Schizosaccharomyces pombe: one gene and its partners. Changing the gene in region 1 together with any one later gene gives a genetic interaction. Each region holds a gene or a part of one and is shown in the gene's direction. Other genes may lie near its edges.

What was found.
Region 2: mutations in cdc20 (region 1) and psf1 impair growth when combined (synthetic growth defect), as found in Schizosaccharomyces pombe (one study listed by BioGRID).
Region 3: mutations in cdc20 (region 1) and cdc6 are lethal when combined (synthetic lethality), as found in Schizosaccharomyces pombe (one study listed by BioGRID).
Region 4: mutations in cdc20 (region 1) and cdc24 impair growth when combined (synthetic growth defect), as found in Schizosaccharomyces pombe (one study listed by BioGRID).

What each region holds. Positions count from the first base shown.
Region 1 is NC_003423.3:3,252,151-3,259,758, forward strand, and holds the start of cdc20 (DNA polymerase epsilon catalytic subunit Pol2), read left to right. Parts: upstream 1-1,571; 5' UTR 1,572-1,738; coding exon 1,739-7,608. Other genes in the region: respiratory chain complex IV assembly protein Cox20, read right to left, coding at 453-649, 803-917, 984-1,034. UniProt on the Schizosaccharomyces pombe protein: DNA polymerase II participates in chromosomal DNA replication.
Region 2 is NC_003423.3:2,013,360-2,016,796, forward strand, and holds psf1 (GINS complex subunit Psf1), read left to right. Parts: upstream 1-2,002; 5' UTR 2,003-2,140; coding exon 2,141-2,749; 3' UTR 2,750-2,937; downstream 2,938-3,437. Other genes in the region: alp5 (Ino80, NuA4 and Swr1 complex actin-like protein Arp4), read left to right, coding at 1-1,004; serine/threonine protein kinase Ppk32, read left to right, coding at 3,036-3,060, 3,211-3,437. UniProt on the Schizosaccharomyces pombe protein: The GINS complex plays an essential role in the initiation of DNA replication.
Region 3 is NC_003423.3:2,741,756-2,749,135, forward strand, and holds cdc6 (DNA polymerase delta catalytic subunit Cdc6), read left to right. Parts: upstream 1-2,006; 5' UTR 2,007-2,087; coding exon 2,088-2,316; intron 2,317-2,368; coding exon 2,369-5,400; 3' UTR 5,401-5,435; coding exon of another isoform or gene 5,436-6,572; 3' UTR 6,573-6,841; downstream 6,842-7,380. Other genes in the region: Ras guanine nucleotide exchange factor efc25, read left to right, coding at 1-1,410; hen1 (S-adenosylmethionine-dependent methyltransferase), read right to left, coding at 5,436-6,572; ribonuclease H Rnh1, read right to left, coding at 7,036-7,380. UniProt on the Schizosaccharomyces pombe protein: Catalytic component of DNA polymerase delta (DNA polymerase III) which participates in chromosomal DNA replication.
Region 4 is NC_003424.3:2,863,191-2,867,383, reverse strand, and holds cdc24 (DNA replication protein Cdc24), read left to right. Parts: upstream 1-1,557; 5' UTR 1,558-1,596; coding exon 1,597-1,688; exon of another isoform or gene 1,689-1,743; coding exon 1,744-1,828; exon of another isoform or gene 1,829-1,882; coding exon 1,883-1,910; exon of another isoform or gene 1,911-1,974; coding exon 1,975-2,174; intron 2,175-2,232; coding exon 2,233-2,896; intron 2,897-2,941; coding exon 2,942-3,076; intron 3,077-3,117; coding exon 3,118-3,419; 3' UTR 3,420-3,654; downstream 3,655-4,193. Other genes in the region: SPOM_SPAC8F11.08C (esterase/lipase), read left to right, coding at 22-1,095, 1,149-1,205; brr6 (nuclear envelope protein Brr6/Brl1), read right to left, coding at 3,817-4,193. UniProt on the Schizosaccharomyces pombe protein: Has a role in the progression of DNA replication and in the maintenance of genomic integrity. Acts during S phase, after initiation, where it is essential for completion.

The sequences.
Region 1 (7,608 bases):
GCAAGGTCGTAGACTGACTTTACGATAAAGGGGTAAACATACACGCACGAAAGATTGAGATGAGCTAGTACTTATAAAGTAAATAACGAACAAAAAGTCTACCATTGTTTAGTTAATATTGGGAAAATGTGGATGCTGTATATTTTTAAGACTTTTTTGCTGTTAATACAACGTTCAAGATACCAAGAGTATGTATTCCACCCATTGTAATGGCACCCTAAAAAGATTGAATTCTTCGAGGCAGTTAAAAATTCAACATTGGATTCTTTGGTGATAATTCACACTCTTCAATGAATACCATTTAAAAATGACAAACCATTCCGATGAACTCAAATTTAAAATATTAATTGAATAAGAGTTAATCGATCAAATGAAAAACTCAGCATACCATGCAATAGAGGGATGAAAAGAGCTTAAGAATAAGTAGAACCTAAAGAATCAAATGAATGCAATTACTCGTTAAAACCTTCATCAATTTCTTGAGCGGACCTTGAAGAGCGATGCTTCGGGGTCTTTTCTGCTGCTTCTGTAATTTTAATGTTGAAGTTATTAGTTTCAAGCTGCTTGCGGTAATTACACCCTTCCCAAGAGACGATGCTCATTCCAAAATAAGTTCCGAACCCCCAATTAGCAGCTCTAGAAATAGGTGCTTGAATATTGTTAGCATGTGTCGGCAAGAATTTAAACCGCTTATTAAACAACGGATTGAAATCACCGTTTTAAAAAGTTGGTCCGAAAATTAAAAGACATGCGATTTTTTTTGACGGACATCAATTAACCAGCATAATGTTTTTTTTCGTACCTCGAAGAAACAAATGGATGCAACCAACACCTAGACCACAGACGACACTGGTGATTAATGATTCCTTAAAACAAGGATGGTGTACCATGTGAGCAAAATCACTCATCTTCAATGACTACAAGTAGTATTAGCATTCCTTGCATTTACAACAAACTAGTCCTTTTTAAGCTATAAATTCTACCTTGAAAGCGTCAATAATCCCAGGTTTTTCGGGTTCATTTGGTGTACTCATAGTTACTGATTCGTTTAAGCTTTTTCAGTTAATGGTGGAATAGAGGTAAATATAAGGTATCAAACTGATTGAATTAAGCACTACTAAGTTTTTTTACTATGGCGGGGTCTTTAATCCTGTACTTCAGCAATCAGACAATATTTTTTTCTTTGAATTAATATAAACTTTTCCATTTATGATAGTATATTTCGCCAAAATAACCAAGCTTTGACAATTTATATCACTGAAAGCAGAAACCGCGTCACCATGCTTCTCTAAAAGAAAACTGCTTTTTTTTTTTTTTTTTTTTTCTTTAAATTCAATCCTTAAAGGAAGCAATATCGATTTGAAATAATTACTTACGGTCGAAACACACGATCATTAGGCTAATGTATACTAAATTTTGTATTTTTTTGTACTTTGTCTTTATTTTATGGCAAAAATAAATAAATTGTAATGCTTTGAACTGGAACATGATACCCAAAATAATTTGCAAGTTGTCGACGCGACGCGACTTGTTGTTTACCAATTTGTTGCCTCTTAACTCGGTATTAATCCAAACCACTATATCACATTTAAAAGGATACCTAATGTTTGTACAATAGAAGAAGTTTCTTCTTAATACTATTCCATTTATTAATTTAGAATTCTCTGGTAACAATCGGAAATTACTAAACTGTCGGTCTCTTTTTACTTTCTTTTTTTAATATTTATTTTGTATTGCTATGCCCTTAAAAACAGCTCGAGGAGCATCCAAATATCAGTTTAGGAAATTTAATGGTAACTACAATGGAAAAAGTAAATCGAACGGTAGGACGTTTGCAAAATCAACCGAGGAAGTTGGCTTCAATGATCCTATGAAAATTGTCTACAAAAAGAATGAGATTGATCGAATGATGGGTTTTGATAGCTATGAAGGTGGACAACCACGAGAAGCTTGGCTTCTCAACGTTCATCCAACAGTAATCGAAAGCACCAAAGGCAATTCTACCCTCAGTGCCGTTGACTTTTACTTCATTCAAGACGATGGTGACACTTTCCGGTGTACCATTCCATACTCTCCTTACTTCTACATTGCTGCTCGAGAAGGTAAAGAAGCTTTGGTTGACGATTATTTAAAAAAAAAATTTGTGGGCTTAATTAAATCTACTACGCGTATCTTTAAAGAAGATTTACAGCTAAAAAACCACATAGTGGGTTACCAAAAGTTGTATATAAAGTTGGTTTTTGATAACCTGAATGACCTTCAGGCTGTCAGGAAGTCTTTGATGTCTGCTGTGAAAGCTAATTCTTCCCAACAAGATGCCGTTGATGCATACACTAACTTGTCTTCGGAGAATTTAAACGGGATTATAGAAAACGCATTTGAAGATCCTTTAAATCATGTTTTAGATATCCGTGAGTACGATGTTCCGTATCATTCTCGTACACTTATTGATTTGAATATTCGAGTCGGACAATGGTATACTGTTTCATATCATGAAGGCCATGTTCAAATATCCCTTTTAGCTTCCCGAATCGAGCGTGCAGAACCTACTATAATGGCTTTTGATATTGAAACCACTAAGCTGCCATTGAAGTTTCCTGATAGCTCGTTCGATAAAATAATGATGATATCTTATATGATTGATGGCCAAGGATTTTTAATTACCAATAGAGAAATTATTTCCCAGAATATTGAAGATTTTCATTATACTCCGAGGGAGGAATTTGAGGGCCCATTTATTATTTTTAATGAGCCTGATGAAGTTGGCCTACTTCATCGATTCTTTAAACATATAAGGTCTGCAAAGCCTTCAGTAATAGTTACATACAATGGTGACTTCTTTGACTGGCCATTTGTAGACGCACGTGCTGCATTTCACGGATTGAATTTAACAGAAGAAACTGGTTTCTTCAGGGACGCAGAGGATGAATATAAGTCTTCTTATTGTAGTCATATGGATGCCTTCCGGTGGGTAAAGAGAGATAGTTATTTACCTCAAGGAAGTCAAGGTCTCAAAGCTGTCACTGTCAGTAAATTAGGTTATAATCCTATCGAACTAGATCCAGAATTGATGACTCCTTATGCAAGTGAAAAACCTCAAGTTCTTGCTCAATATTCAGTTTCAGATGCTGTTGCTACTTATTTTCTTTACATGAAATATGTGCATCCTTTCATTTTTTCTCTTTGTAACATTATCCCATTAAATCCTGATGAAGTTTTACGTAAAGGCACGGGTACGTTGTGTGAAACGCTTTTAACTGTTGAGGCTTGTACAAAAAATATTATTCTTCCGAATAAACATGTTGATGCTAGTCAAAAATTTTTCGACGGTCATTTACTTGCAAGTGAGACTTATGTTGGAGGACATGTTGAAAGTCTTGAAAGTGGTGTTTTTAGAAGCGACTTGCCGACTAATTTCAACATGGATCCAAAAGTTTATGAAGAACTAATTTTACAGTTGGACAAAGCCTTAGATTTTTCTTTAACAGTTGAAAACAACGTCAATGTTGATGAAATCGAAAATTATGAAGAGGTTAGAGACAGCATATTAAAGAAACTAAGTGACCTTCGTGATCGACCAAAAAGGTCGGAGAAGCCAAGGATTTACCATCTTGATGTCGCCTCAATGTACCCAAATATTATGATTACCAACCGGTTACAGCCAGATTCAGTAAAAGATGAATCGTTTTGTGCAACATGCGATCTTAATGTGCCCAATAAGACATGTGATCGTCGGATGGTATGGGCATGGAGAGGGGAGTATTACCCTGCTAAAAAAGGTGAATATCATATGATATATTCTGCTTTACAATCTGAGCGTTTTCCAGGCCCTACCCCTTTCTCACCTTTTAGGTCATTTCAAGAGCTTTCTCCCTCAGAACAAGCTGCTATGGTGCAAAAGCGCATTGCGGATTACAGCCGTAAAGTGTATCACCGTCTATATGATAATACCGTTATCGAAAGGGAAACTATAATTTGTCAAAAGGAAAACTCATTTTATATTGATACGGTAAAAAGCTTTAGGGATCGCCGTTATGACTTTAAAGGATTGCAAAAAAAATGGGTCAAACAACTTGCTGCTATAAAGGAAAAAGGAGGACTTGCTGAAATAGAGGAGGCCAAAAAGATGGTCGTACTCTACGATTCTTTACAGTTAGCTCACAAAGTTATTTTAAACTCTTTCTATGGATATGTCATGCGAAAAGGCTCCCGTTGGTATTCGATTGAAATGGCTGGTATCACATGTTTGACAGGCGCTACGATTATTCAGATGGCTCGTCAAATAGTTGAACGTGCAGGTAGGCCATTGGAACTTGACACAGATGGTATTTGGTGTATTCTTCCAGAATCGTTTCCTGAAAACTTTGAATTTAAAAAGAAATCCGGAGGAAAGGTTTTTATCTCTTATCCATGCGTTATGTTAAATCACCTGGTTCATGAAAAGTTCACCAATCATCAATATTCTGCCTTAAAGGACCCAGAGAAATTGGTGTATGAAACAACTAGTGAAAACAGCATTTTTTTTGAGGTTGATGGTCCTTATAGAGCTATGATTTTGCCTGCTTCAACGGAAGAAGGTAAAAACTTAAAAAAGCGTTATGCCGTTTTCAATTTCGATGGTAGTTTAGCTGAACTTAAAGGCTTTGAGGTGAAAAGAAGAGGAGAATTGAAGCTCATTAAGGATTTTCAATCTCAGATATTTAAAGTTTTTTTGAAAGGTGATTCTTTAGAGGAATGCTATCAAGAAGTTGCCTATGTTGCTGACACTTGGTTAGAGATTCTATTCACCAAAGGCTCTAACCTAACAGATGATGAATTAATTGAACTGATTTCTGAGAATCGTAGTATGTCTAAAGCTTTGTCTGAATACGGAAGCCAAAAATCGACATCCATTACTACAGCCAGGCGACTGGCTGACTTTTTGGGTGATCAAATGACCAAAGACAAAGGTCTAGCATGTCGTTTTATTATTTCCGCAAGTCCAAAAGGAAGGCCAGTTGCAGAAAGGGCAGTACCGGTAGCTATTTTCTTTGCTGAAGAATCTGTTAAGCGACATTTTCTTAGGCTCTGGTTGAAAGATAATGGTCTATATGATGTTGATATTAGAGACATTATTGATTGGGATTATTATTTGAAACGTCTAGGATCAGTAGTACAAAAACTAATTAGCATCCCTGCTGCTCTCCAAAGGATTTCAAACCCCGTTACCCGTTTTCCATTGCCGGACTGGCTTCAAAAACGAGTTGCTGTCTTGAATTCTAAATACCAACAGAAAAAGATCGATTCCATTTTCTCCTTAGCCCCTACAAATCCATCCACAATAAACAACACAAAAGTTACTGATATTGAGGATTTAGGAAGTGTGACTCACAAAGATAAGCGTATTGTCGCTCGAGTTACCAAGCGTAAACTTTTACAACAATCTGGGAACTCGGAAGCACCTGTATCTTTTGAAGTAAAACCTGTATCCTTTATGGATGGATATTCGAATTGGCTTAAGTATGCTAAGAAAAAGTGGAAATATCAGAAGCAGGTCAAGCTTCGAAGAAGACATTTAATTGGGTTTCAATCAAGGCAATTCACCAATGTTTTACAATCTTCTGCTGAAGTTATGTTTGAAAATTTATGGCATATTTTACAAATACGAGAAACCGATGTTCCTGGTATTTTACATGCTTGGGTAATTATTCGTAATCGGTTGACCTCGATACGGTTCATTGTGAATAGAAAGTTTTTTGTATGTTTCAAAGATGAGACTTTACCGAATGTTGAAATTGAGGGATGCTTAATTGAAAAAAGCAATGCGATATTACCGCATGGAAGCACTTCGGATAAGCTTTTTTTACTTGAAATTCCAGAAAAGAGCTATTTAACGGAAAAGGTATCAATTTCTATGATTTTTGCCCATCCGTCTGTTAGTGGAATATATGAGACTCGTATAGAACCAATTGAAAGATTGATATTAGAAATGGGATCCAGAAAAAGGTTTAATAATTCAGTACCTGGAGCGTTAGGTAAAGGCTTCGAATTTGGATTTGAATCTAAAATGTTCACTGACCCAAGTGATAACGATGTTTCCTATCTTGATGGAGTAGAGATGAACTACCTTTATGCATTCCATTTTTCCATTAGTAATAGGTTTGTTTTTTCACTTTTTATGCCACATTTAAAAAAAGTTGAGGCCATAATTTATGACAAACTGCCAGGTAGTGATATGTCTTTCCCATCAATCAGCAAAATTTACGAAGAGCTACGGTCGAAATTTGATAATTTAATTAAGGAAAGTAGTATCGAATACCCTGATACTCTTTCGTGTAATGTCATTTTCTCGGGAAACGAAAGGAAAGCGTACAAACTGATAGATGAAAAGTTGCTTCAATATTTTTCAACTAAAACTAAAAATAGTCTGCTTATTATTGAAAGTTCACTCCCTCACATATTGAAGGCAAATGTGAAGCAAATTGAAGAGCTTCCGTATATAATGATACCACGGCTTGAGAGCAACATACAGTCTCTTTCTTGGAAACAACACATTGCTACGAAAATGATCCAACATTTCTTAGCTATTGGTAGCTGGCTTTTCCATCGCATACAACTTTCTCGCTTCTCAGATATCCCATTATGCAACTTTGAAAGCGATGACATTCAGTACAGTATCGATGTTGTTTACTCTAGAAAGCTGAAAGAACATAATATTATCCTTTGGTGGAATAAAGGCCCAACTCCAGACTTAGGTGGTATTGAGAAGGATAGTATTCTGCAGATTGCCAGTCCCAAAGATCCACTAGAAGTTAACAATCCTGGTGCTTATTCAAATGCTTGTGTTGACATTTCTCTTTCCAACCTTGCACTTTGTAGCATTCTCAATTCTGCTCTCATAAATGACATAGAAGGTATTGGCGACATGGCAGCTTTGAATGATAATTACATGACCGCCATAAATGATGATCTGGAGGAAAAGTTGGGAATACATGATAATATTGGACTGACACATTCATTGCCGGTGTTGAAGGCGTTGGTTAAAACTTGGTGGAACGAAGCTGCATCCGGTAATAATCTCGCTGATCTTATAATTCAACATTTAGCCCGATGGATTTCTTCATCAAAATCTTATCTGTACAGTCCTTTACTCTCCTCGCACGTGGAAGTTATAATGAGAAAAACTTTTTTACAACTTCTCTCTGAGATAAAACGCCTTGGAGCACATATCATACACGCTTCTGCTAATAAAATATTAATCAAAACGAGCAAATTAATCGTCCAGAACGCTGTCACTTATTCAAATTATTTACTCAAATCCATTAAGACGTTACCACTATTTCACTTTTTGGATCTAAATGTCACGGAATACTGGGATTATCTTTTATGGATGGATTCCGTTAATTATGGAGGAAAAATGGTGGCAGCAAATTTTTCAGCTACAAATGAAGAACCACAGACAGTTGTTTCATGGCACATTAAAAGTCATTTACCTCCAATCATTCAGCCCGAATTTCAGAGTTGGATTGTTGAGTTTATTGAAGAGGTTTATAAGCAAAAATTAGAAAAGTCTAATACAAAAGTTGGGTTTGTTCGCGTGAAAAACAACAATGCTGATGAGGACTCTGA
Region 2 (3,437 bases), 1.2 Mb from region 1:
CAATCTTGATTACGGAACCATTTGATAATCCCCCAGAAAATCGAGTGAAAACACTAGAAACGATGTTTGAATCTTTGCGTTGTCCTGCAACATACCTCGCCAAGCAGGAGACGTGTGCGGCGTTTGCAAGCGGGAAAGGTACTGCTTGTTTAGTAGACATTGGTGCGGAGCGTAGCTCGGTGTCTGCTATATATGATGGTTTTGTGCTTCAAAAAGGCTATCAGGTTCAACATTTTTCTGGGAATGCAATTAACGATATTTTGGCGCAAACTCTCAGGGATAAGAATTTCGAAGTGATGCCTAAGTACTTAGTGAAAAGCAAAAATCCAGTGGAGATAGGGCAGCCAGCTAATTGTGAGTTACGTCCTCGTGATACTACAGATTCTTATCATCAATTTCAGGTCCAGCGAGTCTACGATGAATGGAAAGAAGAATGTGCTCTCATTTCCGATGTTCCATTTTCATCTGAAACCACGATTGCTGAATCAGAGTTCGAATTTCCAGACGGTTCCCGTATGATGTTTGGCGCGGAACGCTATCAAATTCCTGAACATTTGTTTGTGCCAGGAAGTGATGAAGAAATGAACGAGGAACCTTCGAAGCCAATAGAACAAACCGAAAATAATGAGGTATCACAACAAGATTCTTCGGTTACCAACACTTCTTCTCGCATTTTGGGGATACCTCAGTTGTTCCAGAACTGTATTTCGGAATGCGATGTTGATATCCGTGCTTCTTTGCTCAACAATGTTATTGTTTGTGGAGGCACTAGTTTGATGCAAGGATTCTCTCTTCGTCTGCAAAATGAACTTTCAAAATTATATCCTGGCAGCCGTCTTAAAATCCATGCTTCCGGTCATGTTGTTGAACGCAGTTATGCTTCATGGTTAGGTGGATCTATTTTAAGTAGTCTTGGAACGTTTCATCAATTATGGATATCACGTCAAGAATATGAAGAACATGGTTCTGATCGTTTGGCTTTAATCGAAAAACGATGTAAATAATACGTGTAATGATAATTACTAATCTCTAATGAACCTTTAATTAAAAGTCGTTGGATTTTAGGGAATTTTCCTTAAGTGGAAAAAAAGGGGAAACTTTCGTTTGAAATAAAAAATAATTGAGATATTATTACTTTACGTATGAGACTCTTTCCCTGTCCTTATACCTATCATTTGAAGAGAAAATATTGGATCATGTATTTTGCTATCATCAATAAGCATCAAAAGTTTTGTTTTTGTAACAGATTGTTACTCTGGACTGGTTCGTTGGCTCTTTGTGATATTCATGCTATTGAATTTGTGTAATCTTCCGCAGATTATACATAAAGCGGATTTTTTTGAGTACGGCCAATACATCGATTGGATTTTATGTTGTAAGCAGAAAAGAAAGTCTTACTGACAAAATCATTTTAAGCTACATTAAAGCTCAATTATTTGAAGCTAAATATGCCTTGCCATTTTTTGGATATGAGTGATAGGTTTTAAATTGTACCCCTTTAGATTCTAATTTCTCATCAATGTGATTGTTTTATTCCCTTAAAGCCCTGTCCGATGAAGCAAGCACATCGTACTGTGTTCTGAATATTACGTGAGAATTGTAATCATTGAATGATATCCTTTCTTTTATTTTGAAATGAAACTTTATCTGGTTTCTATAATTTTAGTAGCAATGATTTGTAAGTTGATAATTTGAAGCTTCGTTAAATCATCTCTTCATTCCATGTGTGACGATGTGAGGAACTCGGTTTAATGATACCTTTAGGGCTCATTCAATCCTTTGAATTAGTATACATTACTTTATGAAACTGAGGTAATCCAAGTAAGTATACGCTTCATTTTAAATCTGTGTGAATGTTTAAATAATAAATTCTTAAAAATTCGCATAGTAGGTTCAACTAATAATTTTGTTATAAAAGATCCATGTTTTATTTACAGTAAAATTTCTACTAAGGAATGCATCATTATGGTCTTATGAAAGACATGTCATTTTCCAACGACTTGTCATCCACAACCATTCAATATAGCTTTAAACAACTATCGAGTGTCGTTGTTAATTATACTAATCCGTTTCTTTTAAACTAAACATAATTAGGAAAATCTGTTTAAGCATATCGTGATAGTTAGTGCTTCTAATCACTATGGAGAATGGTTTGGGGAATCGATCAAATAAATTAATTCGGGACTCAAAGCGAACTCAGTATTTAGATTATCTCCCACCTTACCAAGCGGACACCGTTAATGATGTTGTCAACGAAATTCGTGCAGCAGATCGCGAAAGTCTAGGAATTCTTCAAAATGTTACACATGAGGCTAGTCAACCTTTCCAGCCCCAGGACCATCCTTCTGAAGCGGCAGCTCTATTGATGTTTCATTCTTCTAGTATCTACAATAAGCGATGTTTAATGGCTTACCATAATTTAAGGCTGCAGCGGCTTCGTCAATACTGTTGGAGCGGAGGCAAACGAATGGAATCTTGTTTAGATACATCTCTAAGTACTTATGAGCGTGACTATTTAACGAGATATTCAGAACTTTTGGCTGCTTATAAAGGCGCTTGGTCCGAGCTGGATTTGACTGGTTCTTTGGTTCCTCCTAAAAATTTGTTCATAGACGTCCGAGTTTTGAAGGACGTTGGAGATATTGAAACTGAATATGGTACTATTAACCTTACTAAAAATTCACAATTGCATGTGCGTGCTACAGACGTTGAACGACTCATTGCCCAAGGTTTTTTGGCTAAGTTATGATTATCAAACTAAAAAATACGACTTTCTTATAATCTTTAATTAATTGTCTTTTTATTTAATCCTCTGTTTCCCAAATAAGAGTTTCACTGCTTTTTGAACTGACCCTAAAAATTTCATCCATAAGCCATTCATTCCTACCATCTCCACTGTATACTACCGCGAAAAAAAGGTGTTCAATTTTTATACTTGGTTTGCTTCGAAGGGATTCAAAAATAATTATAATTTTTTCTTTTTGTTTTTGTTGTTTTAAGTTGTTTTTTTCCAAAGCCATCCACTTTTTCAGCTTATGTTAGCCAATGCACTTCGACTAGGTATGCTATATTCCTTGATAAACTCGATTATCAGCGCTGTATGAAAGATTGTAGTTATGTTTATGTAATTGATCATCCTCATCGTCATTTCTATAATCTATTTAGATACATTTCGTATCCCAAGTAAGTATTCTAACGTTGAATGTTTAGTATCAAATTCCAAAAAAATTAAATATGATTATGATATCCAGAAAGAAAATTCAGTCCAAGTAGGTCCTTGGACTGTTTATTCGGCATCCAAAAAGGGAACCAACGAAGAGGTTTCAGTGTTTACATTTGATAAAAAGAATTTGTCCACCTTACTAAAACGCGGGTCTATTGACTCCAATTTGAAAACAAACTATGTCTTAGAGCTTTTAAGAAAAGATGTGTCTTCT
Region 3 (7,380 bases), 510 kb from region 1:
GCAACAAAAGAGTTTGAAAACAAGTTTTCAAATGCAAACACAGCAAAAGATGACGAACCGGCTCGTCAAACTAACAAAGGTACTACTAGAATTTCTAGAAGTTCTGATTTTACCGCTGTTAGCGAGATGAGCAAGGATACCTTAACACTTGGCAGAAACTCTTTGCAATCAATTTTGATGCTGGATAATTTGTTAACCAATAAAGTTGTGCAAAGCGATAACAATGTTAAAGGTGGAACTTTACCGGCCCTCGTGCATTACCTTGTCCAGAACGTTCACTTGAACAAAGATTTTCGCCATTCGTTTCTTTTGACTTATAAAACGTTCACTACCCCCCAGGAATTGTTTACGCTTCTTGTCATTCTGTTTCACGAGTTACCGCCACCAGGATTAGATGCTACAGCATATAGTTCTTGGGAAAAGGGAGATAATTTTGTTACCAAGAAGAACGTCTGCACCGTTATGAATTTGTGGGTTCAAAAATACTTTTTTGAAGATTTAAAAGCCCGTAACACTCTTTATTTGATTTCGGAGATGCGTACCTTTTTACGTGACCATGTTGTTCCATCTTTTCATATTGGCAGTGTAATTTTATCGGAAATTGACAATCTCTGGACTGAAGAGCCTCCAGATTCGTTAACCCAACGCCTATTATCTTCTCCCATGGCTACTTTTATTTCTTTAAACGTATATGCTTATACTCCTGAAGAATTTGCTTCCCAGATGACATTATTGGAGTTTGATTATCTAAAGCAGATTCCTTCGAGGGAATGGATATTTAGAAGCTGGGTTAGTCGCGATTCTCGCAGCGCTGTCCGAAATTATATAAACTTTTCGAATTGTTTCACCTATTGGATAATCAATTGTATTTTAGAGAAAAAGAATACCAAAGCTCGTACAGCAGTAATATCCTTTTTTATACAAACTGCCTACAAGTGCTTGTCCCTCCAAAACTTTTCCACTCTAATGTCTATTGTTTCTGCCTTAAATTCTGCTCCTATTTATCGTTTACATGCAGCGTACAAACTTGTTAAAGCTGAAGACATAATATGTCTGTCTGGTTTACGTGAAATCGTGGAAACAAAGAAAAATTTCAGTACTTATCGTGCTTTACTTCGCAAGGCTGAACTTCCTTGCGTACCGTTTTTGGGTGTCATATTAAGTGACTTGACTTTTATCGATGAAGGTAACCCCGATGTTCTTGATTCATCTCCACATCTGTTAAGTTTTAATAAGCGGCATCGACTTGCCGATGTCGTCGCAGATGTGTGCCGATTCCAATCCTCCTCTTACGAAATGCAATCTAATACTGATCTTCAAAGCTATATTTTACATCGGTGTCGCTTTGTTAACCAAGATCTGTCCTATTTATTTGATAAATCACTCTCACTTGAACCTCGTTCTTCTTAAATCTTATTTTTTACCCCTCTCTTAAAATCCCGTTTTGGTTTTAGCCCGTATAGGGTTCGCTCTTTTAGTTGTCTTTCAGACACAGCTTTTAATCTATCTCTTTACGTATTTACTGTTAATGTTATCGTATTGGTTTAACTGACATGACCTTGATGTTGTATTATTCATTAGGCGTTGGTAAACAAAGTCTCAGAATAAATTATCGGAATTGTCGGTTTGTAGGCTGATGACTCTGCTCAGTTTTCTTAATTCCTATTGCTTGGAATCTAGTTCTTTTTGTTTTTGGACAATTGCGTCCTTTTTATTACTAATATCTTCCATTAATAATAAATTAGTCTTTTGTTATGCCCAAGAATACATTAAGTAGTGGTTTATGTAGCTTGATGGAGATTGGTATAAACTTGTATATTTGATTTCTTTCTCCATCGTAATTTGACAGCTAACCTATTTAATGTGGTTTTACCTTTTCAGCAGTTGACACTCATACCAAAATTTATTGGTGTACGCTTTGAACTTACCTACAAGATATTCGCCTAAGTACCTATTTGTTGTTACCTACAAAACCCTTTTAGTTGCTCGTCTTCCTACCAAAAACCAAGAGCATGTAAGCTTGGTGTCTTCCTTATTTACCATTTTCTGTTCTAATTTTCATAATAAATAAAAAATTAATTACTAGAATGACAGATAGGTCTTCAAATGAGGGCGTCGTGTTAAATAAAGAAAACTATCCATTTCCCCGAAGAAATGGTTCAATTCATGGCGAAATTACAGATGTCAAACGGCGACGTTTAAGCGAAAGAAATGGATATGGTGATAAAAAGGGCTCATCCTCAAAAGAAAAAACTTCATCTTTTGAGGATGAGCTGGCTGAATACGCTTCACAATTGGACCAAGATGAAATAAAATGTAAGGTTTTTTGGATAGCTAACCATTTATTAGTATACTGACTCCTTGATAGCTTCAAAAGATCAGCAGTGGCAACGACCAGCTTTACCTGCAATAAATCCTGAGAAGGATGATATTTATTTTCAGCAAATCGATAGTGAGGAGTTCACAGAAGGATCTGTACCTTCAATTCGTTTGTTTGGTGTTACTGACAATGGAAACAGCATCCTTGTTCATGTTGTGGGATTCCTTCCGTACTTTTATGTTAAAGCCCCGGTTGGATTTCGACCTGAGATGCTAGAACGTTTCACACAAGATTTAGATGCTACTTGTAATGGGGGTGTGATCGATCATTGCATTATAGAGATGAAGGAAAATTTATATGGATTTCAGGGAAATGAAAAATCTCCATTCATTAAAATCTTTACTACTAACCCTCGTATATTATCTCGAGCACGAAATGTATTTGAAAGAGGAGAATTCAACTTCGAAGAGCTTTTCCCTGTTGGTGTCGGTGTCACTACTTTTGAGAGCAATACGCAATATCTTCTTAGATTCATGATTGACTGTGATGTTGTTGGTATGAATTGGATTCATCTTCCTGCTTCAAAATATCAATTTCGTTACCAGAATCGAGTTTCTAATTGTCAAATTGAAGCTTGGATTAATTACAAAGACTTGATCAGTCTTCCAGCTGAAGGCCAGTGGTCTAAAATGGCCCCACTGAGGATCATGAGCTTTGATATTGAATGCGCAGGTCGCAAAGGCGTTTTTCCTGATCCCTCTATTGACCCTGTAATTCAAATTGCAAGTATAGTAACGCAGTATGGAGACTCCACTCCTTTTGTTCGTAATGTCTTTTGTGTTGATACATGCTCACAAATCGTTGGAACACAAGTATATGAATTTCAAAATCAGGCTGAAATGCTTTCAAGTTGGTCAAAATTTGTTCGTGATGTTGACCCAGATGTTTTAATTGGGTACAACATCTGCAACTTTGATATCCCTTACCTCTTGGATCGAGCAAAAAGCTTACGCATTCACAATTTCCCATTACTTGGCCGTATTCATAATTTTTTTTCTGTCGCAAAGGAAACCACGTTTTCAAGTAAAGCATATGGTACTCGTGAAAGCAAAACCACTAGTATTCCTGGGCGTTTGCAGCTTGATATGTTACAAGTAATGCAGCGTGATTTTAAGCTTCGATCTTACTCTTTAAATGCAGTCTGCTCTCAGTTTCTAGGCGAGCAAAAAGAAGATGTACACTATTCTATCATCACTGACTTGCAAAATGGCACTGCCGATTCTAGAAGACGTTTAGCTATTTATTGTCTGAAAGATGCATATTTACCCCAACGCTTAATGGACAAATTAATGTGTTTTGTTAACTATACTGAAATGGCAAGAGTAACAGGTGTACCGTTTAATTTTCTTCTTGCTAGAGGCCAACAGATTAAAGTTATTTCTCAATTGTTTCGCAAAGCTCTTCAACATGACCTAGTTGTTCCAAATATACGTGTAAATGGAACAGATGAGCAATATGAAGGTGCTACAGTCATTGAACCGATTAAAGGATACTATGATACCCCTATTGCAACACTGGATTTTAGTTCACTTTATCCTTCGATTATGCAAGCCCATAATTTATGCTATACGACATTACTTGACTCAAATACTGCAGAATTATTAAAACTTAAGCAAGATGTTGACTACTCAGTGACTCCGAACGGAGATTATTTCGTTAAACCACATGTTCGTAAAGGACTACTCCCTATTATCTTAGCTGATTTACTTAATGCACGTAAGAAAGCAAAAGCAGATCTAAAAAAGGAAACGGACCCATTCAAAAAGGCTGTTTTGGATGGTAGACAGCTAGCTTTAAAAGTAAGTGCTAATTCAGTATATGGATTTACTGGTGCTACCAACGGACGTTTGCCGTGTTTAGCAATTTCTTCTTCTGTTACCTCTTATGGTCGACAAATGATTGAAAAAACCAAGGATGTTGTAGAAAAGAGATACAGAATTGAGAATGGATACTCTCACGATGCAGTTGTAATCTATGGTGACACTGATTCTGTTATGGTTAAGTTTGGCGTTAAAACGTTACCTGAAGCCATGAAATTAGGAGAGGAAGCAGCTAATTATGTTTCAGACCAGTTTCCGAATCCTATTAAACTGGAGTTTGAGAAAGTGTACTTTCCATATCTTTTAATTTCCAAAAAACGTTATGCAGGATTATTTTGGACTCGTACAGATACTTATGATAAAATGGACTCTAAAGGAATAGAAACTGTCAGAAGAGATAACTGTCCTCTAGTATCTTATGTGATTGACACAGCTTTGAGAAAAATGTTAATTGATCAGGATGTAGAGGGTGCACAGTTGTTTACAAAAAAAGTTATTTCCGATTTGTTACAAAACAAAATTGATATGTCACAACTTGTAATCACAAAGGCATTATCAAAAACTGATTATGCTGCCAAAATGGCACACGTTGAATTGGCTGAGCGAATGCGTAAACGAGATGCTGGCTCCGCCCCAGCCATAGGAGATCGCGTTGCATACGTTATTATTAAAGGTGCACAAGGTGATCAATTTTATATGAGGTCGGAGGACCCTATATATGTATTGGAAAATAACATTCCTATTGATGCAAAATATTATTTGGAAAATCAACTCTCCAAACCTTTGCTTAGAATTTTTGAGCCTATTCTTGGTGAAAAAGCTAGCTCTTTACTTCATGGTGACCATACTCGGACGATTTCCATGGCAGCCCCCAGTGTTGGAGGAATAATGAAATTCGCAGTAAAGGTTGAGACCTGTCTTGGATGCAAAGCTCCCATAAAAAAAGGTAAAACTGCTTTATGTGAGAATTGTCTAAATAGATCGGCGGAACTGTATCAACGTCAGGTTGCTCAAGTGAATGATTTAGAAGTTCGTTTTGCTCGCTTATGGACTCAATGTCAGCGATGCCAAGGAAGTATGCATCAAGACGTCATTTGTACCAGTAGAGACTGCCCCATATTTTATATGCGAATTGCAGAACACAAGAAACTTCAGCAATCTGTTGACTTACTGAAAAGATTTGATGAAATGTCCTGGTGAAAAAGATGGATGTTTTTAATTACTAAATGTGTATATCAAACGTAATGATGAAAAGTTATAATAAAAATTCTACTTTTCTTAAGTACTTTTGCAATGCGAAAACTAAACGAGTTTGCCAAAGCTATACCTTTATGTTTGCTTTTTTTTAATTCAGGACAATATGATAAGTAAATTGAATCATCATAATGGAAGGCATGTCGAATGAGAGGCGAAGACTCCCAGATAAACAAGAAAGGTAATTTTACTGACAAAGCACACTTGCCAGCAATAACCTGGAATAAAAGTAAACAGTGACGTCCAAATAAATGATCAAAAAATGCTTTTTTCAGAAGATTCATAAATTGCTGCACTGTTGGAGGAAATAGTTGCTCCATAAATGGGTATGTAATCTTTTTGTAAAGAAGGATGCTTGAATTTTGGTCTTTTAAGAAGCAATGAGAAGCAGCATTGTTTTTAGATTGATGAAATACTGCGATTTGGGTGCAGAAACCGTAAGTAGATGATGGGCGAAAATGTAACAAATCGTCACCATCTATTAGATCATTTAGCAAACCACAGCCCGTAAATTCAACAGTATACTCTGGGTATCTTTTACAAATTTTATAAGCCCATTTAGCAAACTCTTTTCGATCCCATTCAAAAACGTGTTCAGGATGTCTAAAATTGGTAGAAGTACGAGATGATATACTACTTGTCAAGGTTGATAGTTTCTCAAAGATTGTGTTAAATTCAAAATTCGGAGTTGACACTACGCAAACATTGGGCTTCAAGTTTCCAAAAACAAGTTTTTCAAAGGCTAAAATCTCTGCAACTTGACAATGCTCAATAAACTCTGAAGCTACAACCGCATCAACATGTTTATAATGAGTAAAATCTTTAATATTACCAAGCAATAATTCAATATGTAGCGGTCGCCAACGTAGTTGTAAAAAGTCTTCGGTTCTAACCTGTAAAGCCTCAGTAGCTCTTTCAATACTTTGTTCGTTAATATCAATACCGGCCAGAAATTCTATAGGCACTTGATCATTGCAAGGTACTAAATATGATAGAAAACGAGCATCTCCACATCCAATGTCTAACAAAGATCGCACAGGGAAGCCTCCTTGAAGTATTTTAAATAATTTCCTTCGACGCTGTACATGCAAAGGTGGGTAAAAGCTAGAGACACCCATTGTCTAAACTCAAAGTATTTTTGGTACACTTTCTTCACGTTAGTCAAATAACTACCTATTAACTGTGAATGTTCGTTTCAAAACCACTATTTAAGCCTTTTCAAATTCATTACGAAGCGAATTGTTATTAATTCTTTGCTAAGTCCATTGCAATATGATTTCGATGACTGCCGTTAAGACACCGAACCAAATTTAATTGAAAAGGGAATTGTTGACTAGTGCGAAGTGTCATTTTCAACGTTAAATAATAAAATTATCTTAGCTCCGAATCTATACTTTTCAATTTCCTCTTTAAAATTGTTATAATAGCATGATATTTAATTACAATAAAATATGTAGCATTATGCAAAACGAGAACAAAAAAAGCACATACAACCAGCGAAGAGTAGACGAAAATTATACGGCAAATTTCAAAAGAATGTACCTATATCCATTTTTTACAGCGCTCATCATAGATGACCATTTACTCAGAAGCTCCTCGCCGAGCAAGCATATCGGCTTGTTGATTACCGTAATCGGTACTGTGTCCTTTCACGTACTCTAGCGAAACATTTCTGTCACTCATCAAATCTGAAGCGCGGTTGATCAAATCCAAATTTTTTACAGGTTGTGAATTGCTAGTCTTAAAGTCATTTTTCTTCCATTTAGGCAGCCATGTGGTTAGTGACTTAATGGAATAATTGCTGTCAGAGCGGATGGTCAAATCGCCAGATGTATTTTCAAGGGCTAGGATTATGGCTTGCAATTCCGCACGATTGTTGGTTTGCTCTTCCCCAGCCAACGGTACTGAAATATTTCTTGGGTCATC
Region 4 (4,193 bases), on another chromosome or scaffold:
CAAAAATCATTCCATGTAGTAATGGGGTTTGCGACGATTCTTTATTCTATTTGGGTAGTACTTTCATCTTTTGTGATTCTTTCAGCATACCAGCTGGAAGTTCGCAAATTTTTGGTTAAGTTGTTGTCCAAGATAGTCATCGGTGCATCTGAATCAAATGTTGCTTCTTTTTTTGCTTTTGTTTCAGAGAAAAGCTTAGAAGCGGCAAGCGTTAAGTTCGTTGCTACTATAATTGCTGAGCGTATGGGTGCCCAATTTTCTTCTTTCTACGACAAAATATTTTTTGTTGATATGCTTGGCCTTGGATCCTTGTTTGCTTTGGCCGCTGTTAATGTACTTGCCGCCCGAAAACTCGAGTCTGAATTACCCGCATCTCTTGAACCAAGCATCGGTAACCGCGATCAGCAAAAAAATAGCTCACTTGCAAAATGCTTCAGTAGGTTATTTATCAATGATTTACATGGGACAACCGTCAAACGCTACCCATACATCTCTTATCTTCCTAACTGGCTTTTAGCCAAAAATAATGCTGAGCGTCTCGTTTACAAAAGTCACCTTTTATTAAACGCTTATTCACCTCCAAAATCTGCATCCGCATCTTCTGTTATTGTTTGGGTTTGTGGTGCTAAGAAATCCGAAAGCATTATCATTCCCTACCTTTCATCTTTAGGCTTCTTCGTAGTGGTTCCCAATTACGCCCAGCCTCCAAAATTTCCCCTTTCCGATGCCGTCGAATTTGTATCTTTGTGTGTAGATTGGATAGTAGAGAATGCCATCTATTATGATGCAGATCCAGAACGTATTTTTTTCCTAGGTGAAGATACTGGTGCGTCTGTCGCTCTTGAGAGTCTAAAACACATTCGACCAAACTCTGTAAAAGGCATTTTTGCTCTGTGTCCCCGTTCTATTCAAAATTTAGTGTGGACAAATCAATCCACTATTCCTATGATGACATTACATGCTGGAGATGTCAATCCGGTTAGCGACAGTAATGATAGAGAATCATCCGAAAAGGCATCATTGATTAAAAATTTTGTTGTACCTGGTGCTGTCCCTTATTATTATGAATTTACTTCTCCAAGAACAATCTCAACGGTATGTCAATATAGTAAATTCCTTATTTCGTTAATCGTTTACTAACCCGCCAGGCTACGTTCATCGCACGTTGGTTCTTCTTAGTAGAAGATAATAAGAAAACAATTTAATTTTACGAGTGCATTCCTTCTCTAGATGGGTAGTTTTAAGTTTGTTTTAATATTTTACAAGCATATGCTTTTTTGTTTGCTAGATGTTTCATCTTTTTTGACAAGCATCCCAAAACCGGATAGATATCTGTTTTAAATGAATTAAATATTATATTTGGTTATATGCTGTTTATTGTGTCTTCTTACTTAAAATTTCGATTGTGATATGAAATAACAAAAATAATGACAGCAAACAAGTTTTTAAATTGTAAAAATTTTATAAGTATTGTTCAATATCATTAGGCGTAACAGTATAAAAACAGATGATACTAAATGGAGTATTTAGGCAGCTGTCAATTATCTATATTCTATCAACTACTAATCTTAGAGCAGTAGTAAATTTAATGATTATATGGATTTTCCAGGTCTGATTAAAAAAATAAAAGAAGATCTAGAAAACCGCTTAGTTGAGAAATCTAAACAACCAGCATTCACTGATTACTGGTGAGTAGATGCTAAAAGTTAACGCATATGTAAAGAGTGGCTACTGACAATTTAGGTTAATAAACAAAACTATCAGCTTGTTAAAGGAGTATCCCTCAGGGTTTAGCTATCCCATTTTAATTAACGAGATTGAATTAGCGGTAAGGAATCTACTTACTCTACAAGTCGATAAAATCTGACATGCATGAACGTAGTGCTCGGAGAGAAATAAATTGGACAATGGTAACGAGAAAGTTTACTTTTTTTTTTGGTATAAAGAGATATTGACCTCCTTTTTTGTAAACAGTTTTTTCTTCTTTGGAATGGTTAACGAAATCAGATGCAGTTATTTATTTGGAAGACCAGTTTCATTTTCATTGCTATGATTATTATTATACCCCAATACCGTCTTTGAAGCTGAAAGATAGTGAGGAGAATACGTGCGAAATGATTTTGCATTCCAGTTTTTATTTACTCTTCCATGAACCATTTAACATTTTGAAAGGTGTAAGGTTTTTGAATATCATCTCCTTTATAACAGTGATTATCTAAGACCTTTATTTAGTCAACTTTACGCTTTTCTCAGTCACGCATCCATCAAAAATGGTATTTACGAAAGCAAATACGTTTCCTTCCTACAACTAGCTTTGTTCCAGTATTGCAATATGCTGCATCAAAAAGTTTTGTGAAATCAATGGTTGAATCAACTGAACATGAATTCTTTCAAATACGTGATATTACTATAAGCAAAAGTGATCAAGGTGTGAAACGAATTACTGTGGAATTGGGTCGCATCATTTCTTTAGACAAAAAAGGTGCTTTTCTTATAGACAACAATACCAATTTTATACATTTCTCAGGGACTTACCATGATTTCCCTAAGCTGCTAGACAAGCAACAATACCTACTTATTCCATTTTGGAGTACCGTTTGGGAAGGCAGTACCAACTGGCAGGATGGAATGATCGGTATTTTGGTAATTTTAAGTGAGAATGACTTTGAAGAAAAAAAATGCGACTCCTGGCAAGTGGGACGCTTAGCTGCCGTTAATTCAAATTTTCTTGTACTGGATAACAATGGTCAGCGAGTGAAGATATTGTATTCCAATTCTCAAAAGCATTATTTCAAGGATACCTATATTGGAGATTTGCTATGCATTAGCCCAATCAATCATTCTTCTGACAATCTAAGTGATTATTCATGCGTTAGTGACACAACGACTGAAATTCGTAAGAAATGGTAAATTTATGGGATTGAATATTGATTTATTTTAGTGTCAAACTTGGAGAACCCGTTATCCTCAAACTTTTTGAGAAATGATTTATGCAAGTTCTCCAACCTTTTTTCAGGTGTTTCTGGGCATTTAAAAATTCAACCGTTAACTTTGGTGATCACCGGATTTGTAGCGAGTAAGGGTTGCTTGTTTTACGAAATACTAATTGAATGATAGATTTAACCCGCCAATCTGATTTAAATACCAGTTTGGTCTTGCCGGAAGTAAATCCATTAACAGCAAAAATGGAGGTAATTGACTGTTTAAGGAATAGTTTTTGGGCAGCTTTACGACCGAATTGTGTTTCATATTTTGCGTCTATGATTTCCGGCTTTAAAGAATTATTCCAAAAAGAAATGGAATTTCCAATATACCTGGATTTGAAGTCGTACAAGCTCGGATTCCATTGGTGTGATATTTATGTGGACTCAGAACACAACTGCCATATACAAAAAATAAACTCTCTGCCGTGTGAATAGCCATCGCCATTATCTGAATAATTATGTCTAACAAATAAAAATCAAACATTGAATGTTTGAATGAAAAGATGTACAGTTCATTCAATCATTCTCCGTTTTAAAAGCTTAGTTTGCTTAATTTACTAATATACTACAGTTTAAAAGGCTTATAAATAATGCATTTTTCCAAAAAAGAAATTCAAAGTTAGAATATTAATTGGCTCACCCTTGTGAGAAACAAAGCAATACGATACAATGAACAGCTAAATTAACAAAATTATAAAAGAAAATGAATCCGAATAACGAAATTTGTATGCCAAATTAGAAAGCATACCAATAACGTTCAAAGTAATGATATAAATGAAAGTGATGAAAAATGATTTTAAGAAAAATGAGGTTAGTAGAAAAATGAAGACGTTCAAATTTCTTCCTCCTGAGAGGCAGCTTCGATAAGGTTTCTATTGGAAATATCAGAAAGATTGGAAGGAAGGAATCTACTGGACGGTATCATCGCCGGGATAGCGTTGGCAGCATAATCGTGGATATTTTGAGAATGTCTAGCTCTATAAAGACCAAAGGCGTAATTGGATGTTAGTAGACTTCCAAATACAAGAATGAGGGAAAAAACCATAGTTTTATAAGAAATATGACTTATAAAAGCGTCTATAATCTCAGCAAAAACTAACGCTGCCAACTTTGTAGAACCGACATTATTAGAACTTTCCATTTTACATTGTTTCAGTTTTTGACAAACTTCAAAAATAGCAGGTCCTGGAGAGTCACAGTTAATAGAAA